Mus musculus: one gene and its partners. The protein of the gene in region 3 purifies or fractionates together with the protein of the main gene of each other region. This does not show direct contact. Links are inferred from orthologs where the notes say so. Each region holds a gene or a part of one and is shown on either strand. Other genes may lie near its edges.

Region 1 (4,274 bases), on a different chromosome or scaffold from region 3:
AGTGTGTCAGCTCCCCTGGAACTAGAGCTACAGAGGATTCTGAGCCATCACCATGCGGGTGCTAGGAATCAAATCTGGGTCATTAGAGGGCATGTAAGGCCTATAGCAGACACATTCTTGCTTTACTATCAACGACCTATTTGATATTTCTGCCAATTTATCTGCCTGTGTGTATAAGCGTATTTTGTTTGTTTGTTTGTGTTTTCCGTGACAGGGTTTCTCTGTGTAGCCCTGGCTGTCGTGGAACTCACTCTGTAGACCAGGCTCGCCTCAAACTCAGAATCCTGCCTGCCTCTGCCTCCCAAGTGCTGGGATTAAAGGTGCGCGCCACCACGCCCGGCTATAAGCATTCTTGTGTATGCACAGATGTGTGCAAGTATAAGCATGAGTGCATACGTCTGGAGTCTAGAGGTTGATGTCTATCATGGAACCTTGAGAGCATACCATTTCAGTAAGGCTAGCCGGTCATCCTGCTGCAGAGATCCTGCCTTTTTTATTATTTATTTTATTTATTTATTTATTTATTTATTTTTTGTCTCCCTTGCTTTAGTATTACAGGCACACTTAAACATGTGTGGATTAAAAGCTTTTTTTTTTTCCTCTTTAAACAGGTGTCTTGGCTTTTTTGGTGGCAGACTGTTACCTGTAAGTTGATATAAATCTTTCCCTCGCCAAGTTATATGTGGACATGGTGTTTTATCACAGCAACAGAAATCAAATTACAACACGTGGCAAGCGTTCTAGCACTCTAACCCATCTCCCCAGTCCCCTTCACTAAGTTCCCCCCCCCACCGCCCCCCCCCCCCCCGTGGTATAAAGATGTCAAAGAAAGAAGAGAAATCTTAAATACAACCACGTAGTTTATTGTAGTATTTAGAAACAGGTTGAGGCTACGAAAGGAAAAACCTGGAGTCTTTGGGGTGGGGGTGGGGAGCAGTAATTGCCCTTTTCTAAATCCTGGAGTTCAGAAGTGACTTCAATACAAAATAACCGCCCCCCACCCCCCATCCCCCACGACCTAACAGGTGTCTTTTGCTAAGTTTATATGGGCTAAGTAAATTGGATTGTAGAGATGCGGCTTTGGGAAAAATAATCTCCATGCAGCAGAAACTCGTTGCGTGACGGACTACCAATCCCATCATGCAACGTTCTGAATTCGCGGCGTCGTGGTAAAGACTGCTTCTGCAGCCACCCGTGCACTTGAGCCTTGGAGTTTCTGGCCGCACTGGCGACTGGGTTAGTCCACGTGGTAAGTCTGTCAGCAGCTCCGCTCCGCGGCTGAGCGAGGCCCTTTCGCCTGCCGGCGTCAGAAGAGACGGCTGCCAGCTCCGGAGTCGCTCACAGGTGGGGCGGAGGCAGCGCGAGGCTTCGCGACGTTTTTACGACAGCGGCTGCCGTGTTCCGCGCTCGTCCTCTCTCTCCCTCCTCCTCCTCCTCGCCCTCCTCCTCCTCCTCCTTCTCCTCCTCCTCTCTCGGAGGAGCTACCGGCTGTTGTGTGGCGTCGCTGGTCTGTCCGGGCGGATGGCAGCCTGAGTGTTCGTGAGCGCGTGTGGGAGAAGGTGAGGCGCGGACGCGCGTGGGCGAGGAGCAGAGTCAGCCGTGGCCGCCCCGCGTCGCACCCGCAGCAGCACGCGCGGCCAACCGCGCGCGAGCCGGCGCCCCGGGAGCGCGGGGACAAGGGCGGACGCTGCTCCCCGCCCCCAGCGCGTCCCTCGGCTGTCGCGCGCCCGCGGGGACCGCCCGGCGCTCCCCTGGATGTCCCCGGCGCCCGCGCGGGGCCTCCTGCCGTCGCCTCGTGAGGCGGGCTGGTGCTGCGGCCGGCGGGTGTAGCTCGGGGGCTGCGGCTGCTGCGCGGCCCGGTCCCCACCGCGGCCCTCGGCCCCCCGCCCCAGCACCCCGGCCTTGGAGGCTGTGACAATGGACTATGACTTTAAAGTGAAGCTGAGCAGCGAGCGGGAGCGGGTCGAGGACCTGTTTGAATACGAGGGCTGCAAAGTTGGTCGAGGCACTTACGGGCACGTCTACAAGGCGAAGAGGAAAGATGGGTGAGTGTGGGTGTCGCTGCGGGTGTCCTCGAGGCTGGGAGGCAGGTGCCCGGCTCGGATGTCGGGGTCCCCACTTCCTCCAAGACTGCCTCTGTCCTGGCCAGCCTGCTTTGGGGAGGAAGTGGTGTCCCAGGAATCCAGACTCACAAGAAACCCTTCGTGCAAGAGGGAGACGGACCTTCTGTCTCGTGGGCAGTGTGTACCTTTTTTGCTTTTTCTTTTTTTGTGTGAATTTCTGTACAGAATAGTTTTCTTTTTTTTTAAAGAAGATGGTTATAAGATGCCCGTTTAAATAAATCTGTTCTTCTTTGGTTGATTTATCCGGTAACCTTTTGGGGACTAACTCATCTGGCTCTGGAGTGATATCCATCAGTCTGGAAGAGAAGCTCTGATCTTTTCCCCTTATCAGTTGTGATCAGTTGGTGGCCAAATTTGGATTTGATGGGAGAAAGAAGACATCGAGTAAATGTGGGTCTGTAGAGTTCCATGAAGGATCATCTGTAATGTAAATGTAGCAGTTGCTATTCAGGTATCATTAGCTGTGAGTTTTTATATAGAACAATGGGGATTTGGTGCAGAGTGGATGGTGTGTGGGGAAAAAAAGCAAGTGACAGATAGGGGCTATGTTGTGCAAGCTCTTAAAGCAGAATCTATCAGCTGCCAGTGAACTTTAATCCTTTTGCTTTAAATAGCCTCTTCTAGAAAGAAAAATCAAACCTATGGCTGGTGACACTCAGTTTTGCTTCATGGATTGAGTGAAGTGAACGGGCTCCATTCTCTTTCATCAGTAGATGATTGCGCTATGACATCGCCAGAAGGGAAAGGCCTTCTTAGTTTGGGAGAAAATATTTAATAATTTCCCATTTCCCTCTTGTACAAATAGATATTATCTCTGCCTTTGACACTAGGAAGTTATTGGGAAGATTATCATAGCTTATTATATAATTTTTTGTATTTATTAGAAACAGCTTTCTTTGAGCGTCTGTTATTTGGCTAGTTGCTACTTGACTGCTTGGGAAATGACTTTTTTCATTTTCACAGGAGTACATATTCAGAATTGCATTAGCACTGTAAACGAGACGGCTAAAGCTGGAGCGAGTTCTTTTTGAGGGAGCTTATTTATAAATACTTTCCGAGTCTGGATAATGGAAAAGGAAGTGTCTGTCTATTACACACTTCTCTTCGCTTTACTGGAACGCCTTCCTACTTTATGATAATTTCAGTGCTTTTGTGCAACTGTGAAACCGTGCAGCTAAGCGCAGAAAGTGGAGACTTGATGTTCTGGGTGCCCGGTGGCTCTAGAAGCACCTTTTAGCAGAATGTATAAAGCCGGGGCATCCAGAGCCCTTGTTAATTCTTGTCCAACTAGATTCGTGTTATCAACACTTTATTAGTGGATTATATTTAAAGAAATCATCCAAATTAATTTGCTGCATAATTTCAAAAGGGTTAAAGCACTTCATCCTTCAGTATTACATAGTTTGGGACATGGTCATAAGATCTTCACTCCCAAGACATTTGACATTATAGTACATTTTGACCAGTCTGTCATTTGTTTTTAAAAATTCGAGTGGTTTTTATATTTTATTCTTGTAAAAGGAGCCAATTCTAGTTTCAGAAATTGCCAGTTTAAGATAATAAACTATCCAAATGTGTTGGACTGTGGTCTATTTTTTTTTTAAAGTATATAATGTGTATAGAGGGAGATACTTTAAACACCTTTTACATCTTGATGATCAGGTTTTCATTTAGGCTAAGGATAATTTCAGAAGAAATTATATTGCTTAAAATAGCTGGTGTTAGTGTGTACTTCTTAGTCATTTATGGCAATGGCAAATGAACATTTGCATTTGGGGGGATTGCTTTTTAAGCTGTAATCCTTTGGGTTTGTTTTCCAGCAACCTTTAATGATTCTGTTTATTGTGATGAACTAAATTATTTTTGTAGTGAATCAAATGTCAAGAGAGTTTTAGAATTGGAGGTTTTGCTTTCCACAGGGAGTACTCTTCAGTTTGGCTTGTTTCTAAGGCCTGGCTGGTAACCTGCTGCATTGTCTTTATGACCTGTGTCAGTGAGGCATAATGTTAAGCATTTTTAGACTTGGTATAATACAATTTGTGACTGTTTTCATCTTTTTTTGGGTTTTTCGAGACAGGGTTTCTCTGTGTAGCCCTGGCTGTCCTGGAACTCACTCTGTAGACCAGGCTGGCCTTGAACTCCGAAATCCAT
Region 2 (3,500 bases), on a different chromosome or scaffold from region 3:
TCTGTTTTATTCCATTGATCTCTATATCTGATTTTTTGCTGTTTTTGTTACTTTGGCCTGTAGTATACTTTGAAGTTAGGCAGTATTTTTATGCTCAGGACTGCGTTTGCTGTCTGGGTCTCTTGTGCTTTCAAATGAATGATAAGATTGCTTTCTCTGTCTCTGTGCAGAATAGCACTAGGGATTATGTTGGTAGCTTTCCCATGGTAGGATACCCATCTCCACAATATTAATCCTGATTCATGGAACTGTGAGGTATCTGTGTCTTCCAGTGTCTTCCTCAGTTTGAACACTTTCTAGTGCTTTAGTTTACTATATTATGTGTTATCAATCTTCTTCTTCCTCCTCTTTCCTCTTTTTTTTTTTCTTTGATAAAAGATTGGGTCACTATATCCCATAGGCTGAGTTTCCTACACGCTTCGTTAGTGCTGGGAATACAACTTTGGGCTTCATAATTCCTTACAATGAATCAATCTCTTATTGTTTATTATTACTGTGCACAGATGCTGTGCCATACATATAGATCATAGGACAGTTTTGTGGAGTTGGTTCTTCCCATTTTATATAGGTTCTGGGGTCAGACTTAGTTGGCCAGACTTGTACAGCAAATGCCATAGTGTGGGCTCACCTTCTTTTTTTCTCGTTCCCTCCCTCTCCCACCTCCCCTTTCATTGCCTCCCTCTCCCCACTCCTCCTCCTTCCTGGTGCTGTTTAAAGATGGGATGGTCCTATGTTGCCCAGGCTGTTTTCATATTCCTGAGCTAACATGGTCCTCCTGCCCTTGCCTCCCCGAGTGTCAGGTGGTAGACCTGTGGCACACACCTAGCCACCTATCCATTACAGTAGTTAGGGCAGCAGCTACTAAGATCTAACTGTGGCCTGAAAGATGGTGCCACAACTGTGGTGGCATGGGGAGAGAGCAGCAGGGTGGTGTTGGTTTCATATTTAAAATTAGAAATTAGGAGGCTAGGGTCTGAGGCTTGAGTTTGTCGCTAATTCACTCTGGAGGCGTATGTATGTTCTTACCTTAGAGTCGTGAGAACAATAAAGCTTGTTTATTTAGGGTTAGGGGAAGCACTCTGTAGTTATAGACCATGTTACATGGAGGAGTACTGATAGTAAGGATGGCTTCCCTGGGAGTGATGGTTTCAGGGTTAAGCAAGCAGAGCATTTGCCTCACACACAGGTTCAGGGAGGAGGAGACAGCAACAGTTTCCATGATACAAACATCCAAGTGTTTGTGACAAATAGGATGAAAGAAAATGGATTTCAATGAAAGGATAGGTTTCCCTGCTTCCCAGAGGGTCCTTTACTGTTTGTTTTTGAATGTACTGTAGGAATCAACTCAATTGTGGCCATTGCATCCTACACGGGCTATAATCAAGAAGACTCTGTTATCATGAATCGTTCAGCTGTGGATCGAGGCTTTTTCAGGTCAGCTTATAGTAATATTTGTTGAAACACAGATATAGTGGAAATGCATTTTTTTTCATAAAGTTTTTAAAGAATAAGCTTGACTGCCCTAATCCAAAAGCAGACCTGGCTGGTGGTCATACAGCTATTGGCGGTGAGTCTTGTGTCTCTGGGTTTTCAGATGTGATATTTTAAATGTTTTTCTGTTGTAAGCAAATATGTAATTGCATTTAGATAATATAGAAACATCTAAGGAAGAAATAGAAAATAGAACTCTGAAATAACTGCTGGTAAAATAATGGTGTGTTTTATCTGTTTTCTTGTTTGTTTTTAGAGACAATTTCACTATGTAGTTGAAGCTGGCCTTGAACTTACAGTGTAGTCCAGGCTGGCTTTGAACTTACAGTGTAGTCCAGGTTGGCTTTGAACTCACAGCAGTCCTTCATCCCAGTCTTCTGGGTTTTGGGATTACAAATGTGCACCATGACTTGGCTTCCTATATTCCCCTTTCTTACTGACAATAGATTAATCTTAAATATGTAGTAGCATAAGAAGGTTCTTTCAAACACGGGGGATTTAGAGGGGAAACTTTTCTCCTTATATAATTCTATAAAGCAGCACCAGGACTGAAGTGTGGACATCATAACTTCATATAAAAACGCCTCAGTGGGGATACTTGAGCAGATGAAGGCAGGCCGTGCTCGGGCTGCTAGGAGAGGAATTCTGTCAGTAGGAGGCTGGACTTATTACCTGGGTCCCCCTGGTCTCATGTGTGATGCCAAGTGTTTACAGTTGTGAGTCAAATGCTACATGTAAAATCCATTTAAACTGAACCTTGACCCTAGTACATAGTGACCCTTGTGCCTGTTTTGTGGTTCAAATTGTCTCTCAGATATCAGTTAAGCCAAACACCATTGCTGTAATCTAAGCCATTTTACTGAAAGAAAATATAAATGACCTTTGCAACTGTGTTTTTAGGTCTGTTTTCTACCGATCATACAAAGAACAAGAGTCTAAAAAGGGATTTGATCAAGAAGAAGTGTTTGAGAAGCCTACACGTGAGACATGCCAGGGTAAGAGACAGCGATGTCTGCTGGGGTCAGGGCTTGTTAGCAGCATTCTTCAGTGTCAGCACGAAAGCCACAGCGAGCTCATACACAGGCGCAGGAAGACTAGCTCCGGGTGACCAGCTCTGACTTAAGCCAGACATAACAGTCCATATTGGCCTTTGATTTGAAGACTCCTATGTAAAGCATTGTGGAATTTCTTAAGACCTCATACAGGATATTCAGAACATACAGGACAAAACCAGGGTATGTGGTCAGCATGTCCTTTAGCCAAGTCACTTTTTTGTGTCAGTGACTGGTAGGCATGTTACAGCAACAATATGAAATAGCTGGCAGGCATGAACAAAATGACTACAGCTATTCTGGGGGGAGTTAGACCATAATAACGTCAAACTGTGGGGTTCCCCTTTCACTGCTGTGCTGGCCTGTGCAGTGTTGCCAGGCTGTGCTGCTGTTCCTCTTATCTAGCGTGTGCGTGTGCGTGTGCGTGTGTGTGTGTGTGTATGTGTGTATGTATGTATCCTGTGGTGCTCTTAGAGCTCAGACTTAAGGGCATTCTTGCTTCAGATCTCTTCTCCTTAGTCGGTGGGGAAGAAAGAAGTGAGGCTGTGTTATCTCATGGCCACACGTCCCGCTGCATTCTCACTCTGCTGCTTGCTTGTTCTTCAGTGTCTTCTCTAAACCGCTGTGAGAGCAGCACAGTTTATTAGCTAAAATACTGCTCAACATCTTAAGATAATGAAAGGATATTCAGCAGTTCTTGTCTCCTGTTAGTCACTGTCACAGGCCACTTAGAAAGTTCTTACCCTAGCGAAGTGGACTCCTAACAGTATTGTGTGAAGGTATAGTGTCCTTTTTTTTCTTAAGTTCTTCCTTACTGCATTCCCATTGGTTGGTTCTATGTAGCAGTAAGTGGGTGGTCAGTGGAATTATGATGCACAACTTGGCCAGGCAGTGGTGGCCTGTGCCTTTAGTCTCAGCACTTAGGAAGCTGAGGCAGGTGGATCTTTGAATTCTAAT
Region 3 (2,999 bases):
GAGTCTATTTTCTGATTGTTACATTCAGGAAAACAGCTCATATTCTCTGAGAGACGGGTGGGCTTCTGTAGCAGAAGCAAGTCTCTAGGAGAGGAGGCTGAGTCCATTGCTCAGGGGTGGTTAGAACTCCTTAGTGCTTTTTGAAACAGGTCTAAAATTTATAGAATGGAAAGCTATGACTGTCTGGCGCACAATCTGCTAGAGCCTCTTCCTTGGGAGTCACACAGAGGCTGCAGACTGTAGGGTCAGCAGCTTGGATGCTGCTGGAATGAAAAGCGCTCCCCTTGGTTTACTGTCCCTCACTGTGGCATTCAGAAGACTCTGCACTTGATGGCGGCTAGTAATCGAGATGACTGAGCATTATCACGCTGGCCTTAAATTTACGTTAGCCGACTTTGCTGGGTGGGTATCTTGGTTCCAAGGTTCAGAAATGTATTTATAACAGTTTTTGTGTATGTGCAGGTGTTTGGGAGATGGACAGCTTAGATGATCCTATTTCCTGATAGTTTGAAATTAAATATGGTGTGTGTATGTATGCTCTTCTAAACTTGTGTTTAATGATCTGAACTGTTCTATTTTCTCAACTCAGGTGCTATCTCCTCTGAAGAAATCATTAAATATGCGCACAGGATTAGTGCAAGCAATGCTGTCTGTGCTCCACTGACTTGGGTTCCAGGTAACAGAGCTTCTTACATCAGATGAATGCAGGTTTGAAAGGACTGAGGTATCTAAATAAGATCATTTAACGTAGAATGTACTCATCTAGAGTAACATCTGCTAACAAAGGCATTTTCTTCAGTGTTGGAAGGAATGTCAGGTGTTACCCTCTTCTACCCTTCTACCCTTACTGTGTAGCCCTGGCTGTCCGGGGACTCATTTTGTAGACCAGGCTGGCCTGGGAAGAGAAGTCAGAGTTCTGCCTCACTCTGCCTTAAAGGTACGTGCCACCGTGCCCAGCTTAAGGATTTCCACTGTAGCTTCAGGCAGTGTGTGGCAGTATATACTGCAAAGGCAGGTACTGAAGAGGCCGAGGCAGGACTGCAGGCTTGAGGCTCACAAAGCACTTGCGTCTTTTAGTGTGAACTAAGGGCAGCTCATTCTTCAAGAACATATAAATGCTTTTTGAAAGCCTGAGTTAAAAGCTGTCTTTACTGTTTTAGGAGACCCTCGGAGGCCATACCCAACCGATTTAGAGATGAGAAGTGGATTGTTGGGTCAGATGAACAATCCTTCCACCAGTGGTGTGAATGGTCACCTCCCGGGAGATGCCCTTGCAGCAGGTAGACTGCCAGGTAATGCCAACTGGATGGGTGTTTTTAAGCAGACAGAGGTGCCCGTGAGGCACTGTCTGGTAGTGGACATCAAGATCTGTTACACAGGTTCCCTGCCAGTTTGTCATCCAAAGACCCTGCAGTGATGCACAGGACACTGACCTAAGCCCCTATGTCCCTCATGTGCATCTATTTCCTGGCACCCTCCCCAGGCCTGGCCTTCCCCTGTCGTGACCACTCTGAAGAGCATTTTTGCAGTTGAGAGGCATGCCCCCAAATAGAATAAGCACATTTTGTAGGTGCTGTGTTTTAATGTGGAAGAACCTTCCTAAGGAGAGGACATAGTGGGGACTGTGCTTTCTGAAGCCCATTGTAGCCATGGGCCACACTGTGTTAAAGTGTGGATTTGGGAATCTGCTTATTTGTGTTTAGCATTGCGAATCCCTAACCTTGTTAGATCCTTGGTACTACAAGGTAGGTGGGTGGGTAGATAGAATTAAGGTACTTGCATAGAGGGAGGGGATTTGAGTAGGCTGATCACAAGTAGGACTAATCCCATGTGCCTCTTTTCTCCAGATGTCCTTGCTCCGCAGTACCCATGGCAGTCAAATGACATGTCTGTGAACATGCTGCCACCAAATCACAGCAGTGACTTTCTGTTGGAGCCTCCTGGGCACAACAAAGAAAATGAAGATGATGTTGAGGTTATGTCAACAGACTCTTCGAGCAGCAGTAGCGACTCTGACTGAGAAAGGTGTGGCATGCACAGACTCCAGTGCGGCAGAGTTCTGTCAAGGGGGAAAGAAAAGCACAGACCTAAGGAGCCCATGAAAATCAGCGGGTTTTCTTCCTAGAGCCCGAGCCCCTGGTTTTCTATCTGTTACACAATGTTTGAGGATTAGTCAGAATTACTGTAGTGTTTGGTTGTACATAGCAGCCCTGGCATGAGACTGAAGAGGAACTCACACAACTCATGGAGCATACTTAGAAAGAGCACTGAGCCAGACGTGGTGGCTCACACCTATAGTCCCAGCACCTGGGAGGCTGAGGGATTGCTGTGAGTGTCGGGCCGCCTTGAGCTACAGAATGAGCTGAGCCACCAGGGTAACAGAGATAAGAACAGGCATCGGAGCGCTGTGTGATACTTCAGAAGTGCTCACTTGAACAACTCAATATATATATGTGGTAAATACTGTAATTTGTGTAAATAAACTTGGTTTTGTTTGTATTTAATTTTTTTCAATTTTTTAAAAAATATTTTTAAAATTTAGGTACACCTTCAGTGTAGGAAGGAAACATTTAAATCCAGTTGAATTTGAGCTGGGCAGTGGTGGCACATGCCTTTAATCCAGCACTCAGGAGGCAGAGGTAGGTAGGCAGATCTGAGTTTGGGGCCAACTTTGTCTACAAAGCAAGTTCTAGGAGTACAGAGAAACCCTGTCTGGGGAAAAAAAATCCAGATGTATTTTATAATAAAATAAGATTCTGGTATATATGATACAGTATATACAATAAAATGACTATCTTAACTCATAGTCACAATTAAGTCTCTGAGATCATTAAGTTGAAACTGAAAACATTTATTACAACCCCATACTACACAGACACATACACACAGGATAAGGAAAGTTAGAATAGATGGCCATCTCATGCCATCACCTTGTCTCCTTGTGACTTTTCTCATCTTTTACAGGACTGGGTCTCCCTGCTTGTATAAGGTACCTAGGT
Region 4 (4,122 bases), on a different chromosome or scaffold from region 3:
TCATGTTTTACAGGTAAAACCCACAACACTGGTCCTCAAACAAGAATTAAGTATATACATCAGCTTGCTAAACTAAAACTGACCCTGAAGAGATTTCAGTATGTCCTTGGAATGGTCGGGAGTGGGGGGCTTTCAGGAAGGTCTATATTGGTGCTATATTAAGTAGCATATCCTTTTGATGGCTTAATTGCTTTCAGTGATGGAACATGGAGGAAACGAGCTCCGGGAGTCTGACAGTAACACTACAATGCTAGACTGGTGAGCGACTGACCGCCTTACCTCAAAGCGGGAAAAAAATCAACTCCTCAACAAGTTTTAGCAAGTTCCTCACATACTTTGTGTGCAGTCCCATTTCCCCAGAATCAAGGAAGCACATAAACACGTTCTGCCAAATCAAAGAAACCCAAGTGACTAGGCTTGCCAACTGAGGAAGTCAAATCCGGAGCTAATCTATTCTTTTCCTCCTAAGAGCTACTTTGAGTCCTAGATGACGTCAGACCAGATTCCACCCAGACCAATTAGGTCCAAGAGTCCAATGGCAGGTGACGCCCTAGAAAGAAATTTCTGAGAGGATGAAGTTTCCACTGATAGTTTCAGGGCTCTTTCCTCAGGACTTCGCCTGTGGATAGAGGGGTAATCCTGGGGCTGGGGAACATACACGTGTCTCTATGGGAACCTAATGCGAAGCCAAGCAGAACAAAGCGCAAACGATCACGGTAGTTCAAAGACTTGGGGTTCTAAAGGAAGGACACGAGGTACGGCGAGGTGGGAAGGCTGATTTTGGCAAGAAAGGTCAGAAATCGTGGAAGCGGCTCTTATGTTTCACCCAAAGGCTCTCCAGTGGAAATGGAGAAACATCCCATGTCTCTCGTTGCAGTGTAGGCTGCTCTCCCGCCACACCCCTCCTCTTCTGAAAAACTGAGATCCGTGGTGCCTCCCATCCCCAGAAAAGACCTGAACTTCATCCCCGCGCGCCATCCCGTGCCTTTTGCCCAGGACTCAGCAGAGCCTGTCCTTCCCCTCTGCACCCGCACCTCTGGCTCTCACCGTCCGCGGGGACGCCTCTCCGAGTCTCAGTCAAGTAGCAAGCGGACTCGGTGCCACCTCTGGCCTGCGGCTGCCTGCAATCTCGGCTGTGAGCTCACATCCTGCGCCCGCCGACTCCGGAGTTACAGCCCAACCCTACAGATCGGGAAAGAGACTACAAGACCCGGCATGCACAGCGCGCGAGCTAGCAGTGGGTCGAAAACTTGACGTTTGACTTCCTTCTACTTCCGGGTTCGGGAACAAATCTACTTCCCGTGTCGTAGTCCCCGCCCCCTGAGCAAAGGCTTCTGGGCCTAGTGGGCAGTTATCGCGTGTTGCATCTATTTCCCAGCAAGCACCGCAGGGTGGGCGGATGCTGGTGCTTCTGGACTCGGGGGTGACGTGTGGCTCCTAGATCTTGTCTCCGTGGCAGCAGCCGGTTGCAGTTGCCGGAGAGAAGCTTCTACCGACAGTCGTCAGGGCCGCAGAGCGCTGCCGAGGCGGCTCGTCAGGTAGGTCGGGGACGTGGAGGACTTGGGACGGGAGGAGGCCGACGTGACCCAGCGCCGAGGATTGGCTGGACCGGGTGGAAAGCGGCGGTTTCCCTACCTCGGAGTTTTTAGGGATCGGGTTTACACTCAGCTCAGCCTGGCTCCCTCGATGTCACCGGTGAACCGAGGTTCGGACATTGCAGGAGTATAATTTAGTAAAGACAGCCGCGCCATTTGCCCAGTTCTTCCTGTGTCTACGCCTTCTCCAAACTCCACAGCTACAACTATTTGTTGTGCCTGCGGACCTGGGAGAGCCAGGGAGCGTAGAGCCAGGCACAGCCTTCATGCTTAGGAAACTCAATCCCACGTTCCTGGAGCATATTTGTGGTGGGAGTTAGGGGTGGGCTGGGGATCTGATAGCCCGCTATGTACCATATCTATCTTACCCATCTCTTTAAACTGTCCTTTCCAGCCATACTCTCGGTCCAATCCAGATCCATGGCAATCGTGTTTGGCTCCTTTCTTCACTTTTCTCCAAAGTGCTGCATTAAGCATTACTAAATTCTGTCAATTCAGACATCATCTGATCTCTGAACTCCCGTTCGGCTTCAAATCTTTTCTTCTGTTACAGCCTTCTGTTTCCACATGAATTCATTCATTCTGCAAACATTATCAGAGTGCCACTTACCTGCAGGCAGCCTGCTTAGAGATGCTTGGCTCACAGTGAGAAATTTGGAAAGGACGCCTCTATTCTGCTCTTCCCTGTTCCCTCTGTTTGGCCAAGGCAGTGAGTGATCTTTCCAACTCTGATCAATAAGCACTGCCGAAATCCACTGCTAGCGGTTATCATTATAAAAAATAATCCAAGTTCAGCTGGGTGTGGTGGCGCATGCCTTTAATCCCAGCACTTGGGAGGCAGAGGCAGGTGGATTTCTGAGTTCGAGGCCAGCCTGGTCTACAAAAGTGAGTTCCAGGACAGCCAGGGCTACACAGAGAAACCCTGTCTCGACAAACAAAACAAAACCCAAGTTCATTTACTCATCCAGCTATAGCCGGTTGCCAGCCTTGCTCCCTCTTGCTGTTTTGATCCCAGGACCCTTTGTGTCAAAATCTTCCAGCCTTAGGACGCCCCCATATGCTTTTCCCTATGCCCACAATGTCCCTCTCCCTTCTCTTAGAAGATTTTCTGGACGTGTTTAGGTCCCAGATTGTTTTTTCTGAAGGCTTTTGTTGACCTCTCTGCCTACTTGAGTTATGTCCTCCTGTAGAATCCTGACAGAGCACTGAGCGCTGTTCCTCATACCCTGATCACAGTTTGTGTTTATTTGCTTACTGTCTGTCTAGAGACACTATGTTCACTCTGTCCTTGGAGCTGGGATTCAATAAGGGTTTTTGTTTTTGATAAATGCATGTTAACTCAGAAGGCAGTAGGAGTTCAAACAAGTGTTTGCAGTCTCATGTCATATGAACTCTTCCATAGGACCTGGTCCAGTTAGTCCCTAGGAGCTCTTAAATACTCAAACTATCCAACTAGAACAACACAGGAAGGCAATTGTTTTTTTGTTTTTTGTTTTTTTGAGACAAGGGCTTGTGTAGCACAGGATAGCCTGGAACTCAGTATGCAGCCCAGGTTGGTCCTAAACGTGTGTCAGTCTTCTAGCAACACAGTGAGTTGCTAGAATTAGAGTCACGCATGACCATAGCTAGCTTTTAACTCTCATTTTAAAATTCATCCTTTTTGTTTTGTTTTGTTTTTCATTTCAGGGCATGCATTTGAAAAGCCTTTTTGGGACCTTAAACAGGGATTTATGACTATGCTTTTATCTCGCTCGCAGCTTAGGCCAGATACACCCAAGTGAACTGAAATTGTCTTTTCTCCTTGCTTAGTGATATTTCTGTAAAAATCACTTGATGCAATATAATCCTTCAGGTTCACGTGTCTGTTTTCCTCCAGCTAAGCTGTGCTGCTCCAGGGCAGGCACCATGTTGCATTCATCTTTACGCCCAGCATCTAGCAGTGTCGGCATGTAGTAGGCACTCAAGAAATGTATGTTGAATGAACGATGTCTGTGACAAGCAACTGGACTTTCCTCTTTCCTGACCCTTGCTCCTATGACATACCTCCTGATTGCCACTGTCACCCCTTCAAAGCAGACCTCTAGGGCTTCCTGGAAGGGAAACAGGTGAGGCTGAGAGCTGGAGGCAGAGGGATGGGTGTATGAGGAGGGCTGGGGTGGTGTCTGGGATGAAATTCAGGTCGCTGCTGGTTTCTCTGCAGCTATGGCCAAGGACATCTTGGGCGAGGCAGGGCTGCATTTTGATGAACTGAACAAGCTCCGAGTGTTGGACCCAGAGGTCACCCAGCAGACTGTGGAGCTCAAGGAGGAGTGCAAGGACTTTGTGGACAGTGAGTACCATCTGGAGACACAGTGTTGTTCTGCTTTGAGCAGTTTCCTTACCTGACCTTGGCCATTGTTCTTGGGTCTACCAGAATGAAGTTGCGTGCTCTCTGGATTGAGCCTGGTCTCTGGGTTCCCATGTGTACCCAACCTTCTCTGCTTGCCCTCTTACACTGCCATGGAGTCCCACATTTAGTGCCAAGCAA
Region 5 (3,500 bases), on a different chromosome or scaffold from region 3:
TGCTAAACAGAGAGTTGGCCGTTCTACAAGCCCCACCCCGTGGAGCTGGCTGCGATGTGACTTTGATGGAGGCTTCTAGGCTTCCTCCGGGTCCTTCGGATGCCAGCCTTGACGCGAGGCACCTGCCAGCGTACCTTTTCTGCTTCTGCCTATCTCTTTCCTTCTTTGAAGAGGAACCCAGGTGCTGCCCCTTCTCCAGCTCTTCCCCAGCGGCTTTCAACACTCTTCCCTGCACAGATGTTGGCAGCCTGGCGATGAGGGGGGCCACCAGCCACACACCCCTGCGTTCAGAGGAACTAAAATCAGAAACAGGCGTTACACCCGAGAACGCAGCTGCCTCTGCTCTCACAGACGATGCAGATGCCACAGTCAAACACCGGTGCACAAGGCACAGACTAGAGTTCTCATTTCATGTCTGCACTTTCTCCTTTTGCTAAAGACCAGGCATTTGCTTACGCTTTATACCCACATCTGCTGAGGAGTAAAAGGTGCTCTTCTGGGAAGGCATTTTTTGCATTGTAAACTGTTTTCAGTGACTCATGGATCCTGCCTTTCTGACCATGAAACACCATATGTTCTCTCTATGAACACTATACGTTTCAGTCATGGTGATGATATGCAATGGGATTGTGTTCAAGCTAAGGAATAAGCGATCTTTAAATTCTAAAACCCCCTATTTACCTTTTACCAAAATGATGACATGAAAACCAATCTGTCTTTCATGATGAAATACAAATTACTGTATTTGTACAAAACTATCATTAAAGACACATAGATAGTATGTTATGTTTAGTGAATGACCCAAAGACAGAGATACCACACATCAAACTTAAGTCCATCTGTGTCACTGAGGTACCTGGACCTACAACAAAAAATGTAACGTGCCAAGACATCACTCACCCCACTTTTCCCTCCTACCTGGCTGAGTAACAGAAACTGTCACTTGTAAGTTATTATTTCCCTTACATTTCCTGAAGCTTAATAAAAAATGAATTATGCTAATCAAGGCTATTGTGACATATGAAATATCAACGGTAGCCCAACAAAACTATAAATACCTTAAGAATGTCTTTATTCCATTCTGTCTTGTGCTACTTGGATCAACACTTCCAATAGTGTTTGGGTTGAAGAGGCTCATGCCAGAATTGGAGGCATTATTATTTAGGTCTGCAGATTGCTGGAACACTTCTATCGTTGCCTTTGCGATATTGTCCAGCAAATTATTCATTTCGGCCACAGAACCAGAGCTCTAGTATCAGGAAAAAGAAAGCTAACTTGTCTACACACTTCTTGATTTTCAAGCACCAATGACATTCTGCTTTTCTATTCAGTTCACACGTGTGCTGTCAATATATACTCACAGGGTCCTTCAAGCACTGTTTGATCATGAGCTGGAGCTCCAGCCAGGACTGTCTCAACGTCCACTGCTCAAGATTCTGGAGAAAATTCGAAGAATTGTCACATTTTGAATACTGAATGTATGCTAACACAGCCTTACAGTAATTAATACTCATACCCAGCAAGGAAACTCACAAGCCTTAAAGACTTCCAATCCCATGCCTGATAAAAATGAACATGCACAACAAAGTAGATTCAAGCATCAAAATACGTTCACCAACAAGCCAGGAAGTAGAAATCAGACAAGTATGGCTTCTCTCAGAATCCATTTACCAATTAGCCAACCTCACTCCAAAATGATGAATCTCTTAAATAACACATTTAAAATTGAGCTATCATAAATACTATGTATCAAGTAAATATACCACTGACTTAAAATACAATATATGCCCTTTGCTATTGACTGTATCTACTGAGTAGCCAGCAGTGGCAATGTCACTGTAAAGAAAATTACAGAATAAAACAAAAGTCAGAATTAAAATCAAGGTCAGGAGAAAGTGGGCAGCCTTGTCTAGTCCCTGATTTTAGTGGGATTGCTTCCAGCTTCTCTCCATTTACTTTGATGTTGGCTACTGGTTTGCTGTAAATTGCTTTTATCATGTTTAGGTATGGGCCTTGAATTCCTGATCTTTCCAACAATGGATGGATCACAGGGCTCCCAATGGAGGAGCTAGAGAAAGTAGCCAAGGAGCTAAAGGGATCTGCAACCCTATAGGCGGAACAACATTATGAACTAACCAGTACCCCGGAGCTCTTGACTCTAGCTGCATATGTATCAAAAGATGGCCTAGTCGGCCATCACTGGAAAGAGAGGCCCATTGGACATGCAAACTTTATATGCCCCAGTACAGGGGAACACCAGGGCCAAAAAGGGGGAGTGGGTGGGTAGGGGATTGGGGGTGGGTGGGTATGGGGGACTTTTGGTATAGCATTGGAAATGTAAATGAGCTAAATACCTAATAAAAAATGGAAAAAAAATCAAGGTCAGAAACAACAACAGTAACAAAGTAGTTCTTTGAAGAATCACATTGTGATGGATGGCCTGACCAGCATCCCTGGAATGGACCGCTTACCTGAAGAATGCGCTTAATGTGCTGTCTTTGCAGGTTGTCCCCCTCTGTACACTCCTTAATGCCATGAGGATAGCAGATAAGCTGCAACAATTTCTGTGCTTGCATGTTTGAAAGCACGGGGTCCAGTATCAGTTCTTTGTCTGTACACAGTCGTTCTGGTTCTTTTAAGCAGTGTTCTCCCACCCATTCCTAAAAACAAGCCGGCAGTTAGACTGGCACACAATGATTCTACCTGGCTGTTGATTTTATTCTCATTTCTCAGGGTAAAATGATAAAAGGCTAGTAAAGACAATCTAATGAAATGAAATTAATGAAAAAAATGGGTGGAGAAAAGCTGGCATGTAGATATATGCTGGTTCTTTTGTTATTGTTCTATTTTTCTTTGAGACAAGGTCTCAGGTATTGCAGGACGGCCTCTAAGTCACTATGTGGTCAAGAATAACCTTGAACTACTGATCCTTCTGCTCTGTCCAGTCCTGGGATAACAGGCCTAAATTTAATGCCATGTCTTCCTGCCTACCAGAGCTCCCTGCATGTTCAGCAAGCACTCTTTATCAAATAAGCCACATTGCCAGCTAATGGAAAAATTTCAAAACAAAATTATAACACCTGACATCTTTAAAAAAAAATCCAAGGAGGGGAGGGCTTGAGTTAAACCAGAAACCACTTAAATCTGTGGGACAGAGTTAAAATTTGGGATTTTTAAAAAATAAGGACTTACTCTAAGGTACTATTTTGTAACCAGGTTTTTGTTTATTTGTTTGCTTTGACTTAATATTTAGGGACAAGAATTTCATGCTTTATATAACTTTCATAATTCTTATGTGATATATTCTGCTAAACAGGTAAAGTGTATAAATACTTAGAAGGTTACTTCTTTTGACACTAACATCTTTCTTTAGCATTTTTTCTTTTATTAAGTGGCATTAAGAAACTATCAGTATCAGAGCTCAATCTGAACCCAAATCTGTTTCAGATGAAGTAAGTCTCCCTTTACACTGTGTCAGCTGCTCAGCTCCGGGTATTTAC
Region 6 (4,230 bases), on a different chromosome or scaffold from region 3:
GTATGAGTGCAGCATGGTGTGGCATGACCACCACCCTTTGCTGGCAGAAGCCCCACCTGCTGAGCTACTGGTTGGGGGTGGGGGGTGTCTGCAAGATTTTTTTTTAAGGTGAGATTATAAATATATCCTGTGGATCACAATTTCAAACAAACTTGTCAATCTGGGTTGCAGCAAAAGGCGATGGAACTTTGCGTGTATTTTGGGTGGTGTGACTCATAAGCATTACTTGTCTCCCCCTAGGGAAGGAGCCTGCCCACCCACAAGTCACTGCTGCTCTGGCATTGCTGGGAGAAATAGACCCACTCAGACACCCCTAACCAAGGACTCCCCTCAAACCTCCGTTTTATTACTGAGCAGGAATCCCTAACACCCAGGAATCTCCCTTAACTCTGCCACCGCTGACCTGCCCCTTCCCCTACGAGCGCGCCGCCGCCCCTCACCCCCCCCCCCCCAACCTGGTGTTGTGTGCTTTTGCCCTCTCCATAAGCTGAGTTCTCTGACAGCCCTTTTGCGGCTGTAGGGGTGGGGGCTGGGCACAAACGGGTCACACGTGTATGGGGGAGCATGCTCAGTGTGGGGTGCACCCACGTGCAACATGCACTTTAGTTCCTTGCTCCCCCCACCCCCGTCTCCATGAGAAGTCCAAGAAAAAAAAAATCCTTACAAAAATTGGCTCCTGTTATAAGCATATGCTTAGGATACATACACACCCGTCGGGCAGCCCGGAAACATCGTTGATGTACACGAAACAGATAGCAAGTTATTACTGGTGCACACAACACTCTTAATAATCACCCAGATTCTTTGCTTTCCTATTTGAAACAAGAATGATGTATTTTTAGTCCCACAGAGAGGGAGTCACAGTTAAGTGACCTCTCGGGCACCTGGCCGTCCATATTGGTGGTAGTGAGTGTACACCGCAGGGATATGGCCACAGACCCACCTGGACACACTGACTTGGACACAGGGGACCAGAACACACACCTCACCCCAACCCAGCCTCTGACCGCTAGGAGCATTGTGCCTGGGAATGCTTCCTGTCCACCCCGATCCCCACCACGTCCGTCTCTCGGTTTTTGGGCCGAGCGTCCCCTGGACCACTCCCCAATCGGAAAGTGAAGGTCAAAGTGCTAGCGTGTGTCTCGGTTGCAGACCAGGCGGGCGCGGGCCGCGGCTCCTTTAAGAACCCCCGTCCACTCCCGCCTGCGCGCAGGCTTCCTTTCTCCGAGAGGCTCAGCCACGGAGCTGAGCGGAGCGCCGGGGCGGGGTGCGGGCCGCCCCTCCCCCGGTGGGCAGGGCTTTCACTGCTTCCTGCAGGAGCGGCCTGGGCCGCGCAGGGGGCGGGGAGAGCGGCGAGCGGCGGCGGGGCGGCGCGGGGCGGCGCGGGGCGGCGCGGGGCGGAGGGCGCCCGAGGGCGAGCGGGCGGGCGGGCACGGCGGGTTCCGGGCCAGCCCCGGGGGCGGACGGTTGGCCGCGCGCGCGGAGCCTCGCCGGGGCCTTGCGGGAGCCGGGCCGGGCCGCAGGGCCGCCGCCGCCGCCCGGGCCCGCCGCCCGCGCCCCCCACGCTGGCCCAGAGGGCTGCGGCCGCGTCGCCGCTGAGGATGTCCCGGAAGGGGCCGCGAGCGGAGGTGTGTGCGGACTGCAGCGCTCCGGGTAAGCGGCGGGATCGGGTCGGGGGCGGGACCGCGCCGCAGGCCGCCGCCGGGCGGGCGCCGAGGCCTGGCGGGAGCGCTGTGCCGGGCCGGAGGGCGGGGCGGGGGCCACTGCGGAGCGGCGTCCTTGGCGGGAGGGCCGGCTGCGGGGGGCGCTGTGCGTTGGAGCCGGTGAACGGGAGGGAACCGCCTCCCACCTCCATCGCGGCATCCAGACGGAAGCGCCAGCCTGGTGTGGCAGGAGGGCTGTGGCGGAGGCCGGCAGGCTGTGGGAGGTGGGCGCTAGGATGGTTTGTGTCATCCCTGCCACCCCCGCGTCTTGCACCTGCTGCTCACATGGCCCGCGTGCCCGCCGGAGCGGTGGAGGGCAAGGGGCCTGGATACGAGCTCCTAGGGAGCACCTGACAGGGGCAGCTACTCTTAAGACTCCCCGCCCCTGCTTCCCAAGGCTGGGGCTGCTTAGAGGGCCCGGTGTTCAGGAACAATCTAAGCATGGGCATCTTCCCCGGAAGCATCTCCAGGCCTGCTGGTGTCTGGGAACATCTAGACTCAGCTTTTCCTGTTCCGGGTAGGCCTGTTGGAGAAGGTGTGCTAGGTATTGGTTCAGTCTAGACGCCGATCCCTCCTGGTCTCTAGCTCATTGGATAGGAGAAAGCGGTGAGGTTGCTTATGCTCCCCTGGTCCAGCTGACTCCTGAGCGAACTGGACTTACACACTGCTTCCTCCCTACTAACCAGCAGAGTGAGTCGGTCTGAGCTGCTGTGAAAGCCCCCTTGGCTTGCTGAGGAAGTGAAGGGAGGGCAACAACTCACCAGGCTGGTCCCTTCTCTGGGAGGACACAGCCGTTGATGGGACTCAGCAGCTGGCTGGAGGCAGGAAGTTCTGGCCTTTGCCCATCCTCTATAAAAGAAGCTGTGTCTCCATACAGTCTCGGGGTCTTATGGACTCTGGGTAATGAAGATGTGATTAGGTGAGAGTGTGGAGTGCTGATATGCAGGCCCATAACTTGTAGTCACCCCTTAAAATCCCAAGATCTGACCGTGAGCCCAAGGAATGATGGTCCTGTAATTCTCATGATCTAAACTGGAGTACTGGGAGTTGTGGGTAGTTGCAGAGTCATGAACATGGGACACCTTGTAGGTGACTGACCCTGAGACCTCCTTAGGATATGTCACGGTTTGGAGGGTCCTAGAAGATCCGTTTACAGATGGACATCCATACCCCTAGTTAGCTGGAAATGACGACTCCCTTTCCCCGGTTGGCCTTGAATGGATGAGCGGTGTGTCTGTGGAGCCTAGCAGGCCCCATCAGGGGAGCCAGGGTCAGGTAGTAGCTTTGTTTCCAGCTTATTCTATGATGCTTTGCTCACTCTGGGTCTCAGGTGGAACAGAAATGGATTTTGAGGACCCTTGCATTTCCCAGTCTACATTCTTGGTTCTGGAGCAGATAGAGTCTGTGACTGGCTGGCTGCAGCCTCTGGACACCCAGTCGGTGCTGGGAGGAACAGGGTGTGTTAGATGTTAGGCCACTGAGCTCATAGCCCCCATCCTCATGTGACAGAGGCAGGCCTGCCTCAGGATTCTTTTCTTTTCCTCTCTCTGATGCAGAATGCAAATTACTAAGCAGATGGGCAGAGCGTTGACAGTCTTCCTCATTATCCCACCTTAGCACCTAGTGTGTAGTGTAGTGATTGCCACGTGGCAGCCATTCCCCAGGTACAAGTGTTGGTCTTTGTCAGGAGTGCCCTGTGCCACACTGGGTCTGACAGACAATGGCATCCTTGATCTAGGCCTATAGCATCCCAGACAAGAGAGCATAAGCATGCCTGACCTTCTCATATCCCATGCATATGATAAAATATAGTCCATATATATCCCATTATAGCCCAGAGTCACAGAGTCACTGTGATAGAACTCTGTTATTGTCTGGGTATGGTAGGTAGCACATGCCTTTAAACCCAGCACTTGAGAGACAGAGAGGCAGGCAGATCCCCAGGCCAGCCAGGGCTATGGAGTGAGATCATGGAGTGGGGTCATGGTGGTTTTGTAGTTTATTAACTTGGAGTGTGATAGAGGTAGGAGGTGAGCCTGTGCTCAGAGACAGGTGTGACTATGTTGCAAGGACACAATGTGGCTGCTGTGGCAGCTTGTGTCACCTTACCAGGTGCTGTGCCCCTGCCTGCCTTGGGAATCCAGGAGAGGGCAGGAGTCAGGGTGCACAATCACAGGGTGATTGTCCCCTTACTTTGCCTCTGCCTACTCTTCCTCATTGCCTTGGTCCCAAGAACTCTGGCCTGGCTAACAAACGTTCACTTCCCAACCCACCACCTTTACATCGGGCCTTACATTCTGATAGGCTGGAGGAAAGATCTTCAGATACCCAGGCCGTAAGTCACCAGAGCTGGGGAATATGTTGCAGGGCAATGTACAGACTCATTTGCCTTCTTACAAGAACAAATATGGTAGTGGTCTTTTGTTTGAGGGGGGGTGTGCAGTTTAAGACAAGGTCTCTTCTATATGGTCCTAGCTGTAGAAACTCACTCTGTAGACCAGACTGGCCTTGAACTCTGACTCACCTG
Region 7 (2,904 bases), on a different chromosome or scaffold from region 3:
GTTGAAAAGTCTGGTGTAGTTCTGATAGGCCTGCCTTTATATGTTACTTGACCTTTCTCCCTTACTGCTTTTAATATTCTATCTTTATTTAGTGCATTTGTTGTTCTGATTATTATGTGTCGGGAGGAATTTCTTTTCTGGTCCAGTCTATTTGGAGTTCTGTAGGCTTCTTGTATGATCATGGGCATCTCTTTCTTTGTTTGGGAAGTTTTCTTCTATAATTTTGTTGAAGATATTTGCTGGCCCTTTAAGTTGAAAATCTTCATTCTCATGCACTCCTATTATCCATAGGTTTGGTCTTCTCATTGTGTCCTGGATTTCCTGGATGTTTTGAGTTAGGATTCTTTTGCATTTTGTATTTTCTTTGATTGTTGTGCCGATGTTCTCTATGGAATCTTCTGCACCTGAGATTCTCTCTTCCATTTCTTGTATTCTGTTGCTGATGCTCGCATCTGTGTTTCCAGATCTCTTTCCTAGGGTTTCTATCTCCAGCGTTGCCTCGCTTTGGGTTTTCTTTATTGTGTCTACTTCCCTTTTTAGTTCTAGTACGGTTTTGTTCATGTCCATCACCTGTTTGGATGTGTTTTCCTGTTTTTCTTTAAGGACTTCTAACTGCTTGGTTGTGTTTTCCTGTTTTTCTTTAAGGACCTGTAACTCTTTAGCAGTGCTCTCCTGTATTTCTTTAAGTGAGTTATGAAAGTCCTACTTGATGTCCTCTACCATCATCATGAGAAATGTTTTTAAATCTGGGTCTAGATTTTCGGTTGTGTTGGGGTGCCCAGGACTAGGTGGCGTGGGAGTGCTGCATTTTGATGATGGTGAGTGGTCTTGATTTCTGTTAGTAGGATTCTTACATTTGCCTTTCGCCATCTGGTGATCTCTGAAGCTAGCTGTTATAGTTGTCTCTGGTTAGAGCTTATTCCTCAGGTGACTCTGTTAGCCTCTATAAGCAGACCTGGGAGGCTAGCTCTCTCCTTAGTTTCAGTGGTCAGAGTATTCTCTGCAGGCAAGCTCTCTTCTTGCAGGGAAGGTGCCCAGATATCTGGTGTTCGAACCTGTCTCCTGGCAGAAGTTGTGTTCCACTCACCAGAGGTCTTAGGATCCCGTGGGGAATCCTGTGTTGGCCCTTGCGGGTGTCGGGCAAGGCACCCCGGTGCTCGAGTGGAACGGAAGCGACTTGTGCCGTTTTATTTTATTTTACATATTTTTGTTTGCTTGGTTGGTTTTGTTTTTGTTTTTTGAGACAGGGTTTCTCTGCATAGCCCTGGCTGTCTTGGAACTCACTCTGTAGACCAGGCTGGCCTCCAACTCAGAAATCTGCCTACCTCTGCCTCCTGAGTACTGGGATTAAAGGCGTGCGGCACTATGTCTGGCTATTATGAGATTGAGTATATTTTATTCTCTCATAATTGGGTTAGATGTGCTCATTAAAAAATAATAGGTACATCTTTTCTAATTCATTTATAAGACCTTAGTAATGGTTTCATTCTTAAGGCAAATATAAGCAAAGTCATCTCTCATTTCCTCTCTTTTAAGTTTGTAATTTCTTTTTTGTTTTGATTATTTTAGTTTTTTATTTTTATTTTAACTTTTCAGATAAATTCATTTTATTTCGTGAACTCTCAAGTTTTTGCTTATTCTGTTTTCAGATTATTATATAATTACATCATGAACTATTCCCTTTTCTCTTTCAAATCTTCCCATATGTTCTTCTTTGTTCTCTTTCAAACTTGACGCCTCTTTTTTCATTAATTGTTAAACACATATGTGTGTAAACACACACACACACACACACACACACACACACACACACGCATATGTCTAAATACATGAATACAAGCTGCTCAATCTGTAGAATGTTAAAGGTATGTGTATGCTTTCATTTGGTATAGGGTAAGCAGCAGGTGTGCTCTTCCTTGGACCCCCCCACCCACCCATCCCTCCCGTACTCCCCCATCCCCCTTACCCACATTCTTAGTTGCCTGTGATTCTTTTCGTAGGGCTAAGGTCTCATGGTCCCCGAGAATTACTTTCAATTCTGATCCTCAGAGCCAGAGGACTGAAATTGGGACCCCCCAAACCTCCCTATGTCCCTACAAATCACAGATACTTCCTCCAGTCTTGCACTCCTGTGCCAGACCATGGATCAGCTGCAAGGAGGCTCTACTCCTCCCCAGGCCTGACTTCCTTGATCCTCAAGTTTGGCTGCTCTGTTCTTCTACAGTGATTCCTTAACATTTTTATTCTTAGGTTTTCAATCTGTTAGAACTCTCATTCATCAGCTCTCATGCTCAAAGTGTTCTTTCCTATCTAATACAGAGTTGTTATTGGGGTTTTACAGAAAAATAATTTATACTTCAACAGAATTTCTTATTTACAATCCTCTGGACTAGGCTTCCAGTTAGAAGTTTATTGAAGGAACATGTTCTCCTTTTCTTTCACGCATGCTTTGTGTTAGATAATAACCTGCTCCTTGGGACGCCCAACAAGAGTTTGCTTTTGCTTGTCAAATGATAATTTTGTCCTAATGTTTAAGGATGAAAGCATGACAGTCCAAGCCAGTGTTGATGCATGACTCACACGGTTCTGGTTTGGCTTTTTTAATTTCCTTTTTATACTTCTTAACATTAAGCATGGTGACTTGTTTTGCAGAGTCCCTGCAGCCATTCCTGGAAGCCTGTAGTAACTCTTTGTTTTTTCGTACTTGTTCTGTGCTGCTGCGAACGCCGAAACTTGATCTTCACATCCTGGAAAAGCTCAGCATCATTCTACAGAAGCTTTCCAAAATCAAGTAAGGAAGCCCTTTGTGTGTATTTTTAATTGACAGTTATATTGTGATCATTATTGGGGCTGCTTCTTCAGTCTCAATCTCAAGCCAGTTTTGATTCTAATTTGATTAGGATT

Evidence for each region.
Region 1: the proteins of Med4 (region 3) and Cdk8 purify together in Homo sapiens (affinity purification with mass spectrometry; 9 studies listed by BioGRID and IntAct, counting the BioPlex papers as one, with this or other methods). This does not show direct contact. The link is inferred for Mus musculus from reciprocal best matches to the Homo sapiens genes MED4 and CDK8.
Region 2: the proteins of Med4 (region 3) and Polr2b purify together in Homo sapiens (affinity purification with mass spectrometry; 3 studies listed by BioGRID and IntAct, with this or other methods). This does not show direct contact. The link is inferred for Mus musculus from reciprocal best matches to the Homo sapiens genes MED4 and POLR2B.
Region 4: the proteins of Med4 (region 3) and Ift20 purify together in Homo sapiens (affinity purification with mass spectrometry; 3 studies listed by BioGRID and IntAct, with this or other methods). This does not show direct contact. The link is inferred for Mus musculus from reciprocal best matches to the Homo sapiens genes MED4 and IFT20.
Region 5: the proteins of Med4 (region 3) and Med12l purify together in Homo sapiens (affinity purification with mass spectrometry; 3 studies listed by BioGRID and IntAct, with this or other methods). This does not show direct contact. The link is inferred for Mus musculus from reciprocal best matches to the Homo sapiens genes MED4 and MED12L.
Region 6: the proteins of Med4 (region 3) and Git1 purify together in Homo sapiens (affinity purification with mass spectrometry; 3 studies listed by BioGRID and IntAct, with this or other methods). This does not show direct contact. The link is inferred for Mus musculus from reciprocal best matches to the Homo sapiens genes MED4 and GIT1.
Region 7: the proteins of Med4 (region 3) and Ccdc138 purify together in Homo sapiens (affinity purification with mass spectrometry; 3 studies listed by BioGRID and IntAct, with this or other methods). This does not show direct contact. The link is inferred for Mus musculus from reciprocal best matches to the Homo sapiens genes MED4 and CCDC138.

What each region holds. Positions count from the first base shown.
Region 1 is NC_000071.6:146,229,776-146,234,049, forward strand, and holds the start of Cdk8 (cyclin-dependent kinase 8), read left to right. Parts: upstream 1-1,474; 5' UTR 1,475-1,917; coding exon 1,918-2,045; intron 2,046-4,274.
Region 2 is NC_000071.6:77,337,984-77,341,483, forward strand, and holds part of Polr2b (DNA-directed RNA polymerase II subunit RPB2), read left to right. Parts: intron 1-1,337; coding exon 1,338-1,434; intron 1,435-2,391; coding exon 2,392-2,486; intron 2,487-3,500. UniProt on the Homo sapiens protein: Catalytic core component of RNA polymerase II (Pol II), a DNA-dependent RNA polymerase which synthesizes mRNA precursors and many functional non-coding RNAs using the four ribonucleoside triphosphates as substrates.
Region 3 is NC_000080.6:73,516,047-73,519,045, forward strand, and holds the end of Med4 (mediator of RNA polymerase II transcription subunit 4), read left to right. Parts: intron 1-589; coding exon 590-676; intron 677-1,160; coding exon 1,161-1,292; intron 1,293-1,847; coding exon 1,848-2,020; 3' UTR 2,021-2,499; downstream 2,500-2,999. UniProt on the Homo sapiens protein: Component of the Mediator complex, a coactivator involved in the regulated transcription of nearly all RNA polymerase II-dependent genes.
Region 4 is NC_000077.6:78,535,039-78,539,160, forward strand, and holds the start of Ift20 (intraflagellar transport protein 20 homolog), read left to right. Parts: upstream 1-1,322; 5' UTR 1,323-1,538; intron 1,539-3,471; 5' UTR 3,472-3,700; intron 3,701-3,795; 5' UTR 3,796-3,797; coding exon 3,798-3,924; intron 3,925-4,122. UniProt on the Homo sapiens protein: Part of intraflagellar transport (IFT) particles involved in ciliary process assembly. May play a role in the trafficking of ciliary membrane proteins from the Golgi complex to the cilium.
Region 5 is NC_000069.6:59,254,978-59,258,477, reverse strand, and holds part of Med12l (mediator of RNA polymerase II transcription subunit 12-like protein), read right to left. Parts: intron 2,661-3,500; coding exon 2,472-2,660; intron 1,437-2,471; coding exon 1,362-1,436; intron 1,250-1,361; coding exon 1,059-1,249; intron 297-1,058; coding exon 135-296; intron 1-134. UniProt on the Homo sapiens protein: May be a component of the Mediator complex, a coactivator involved in the regulated transcription of nearly all RNA polymerase II-dependent genes.
Region 6 is NC_000077.6:77,491,982-77,496,211, forward strand, and holds the start of Git1 (ARF GTPase-activating protein GIT1), read left to right. Parts: upstream 1-1,430; 5' UTR 1,431-1,601; coding exon 1,602-1,653; intron 1,654-4,230. UniProt on the Homo sapiens protein: GTPase-activating protein for ADP ribosylation factor family members, including ARF1.
Region 7 is NC_000076.6:58,570,937-58,573,840, forward strand, and holds part of Ccdc138 (coiled-coil domain-containing protein 138), read left to right. Parts: intron 1-2,652; coding exon 2,653-2,791; intron 2,792-2,904.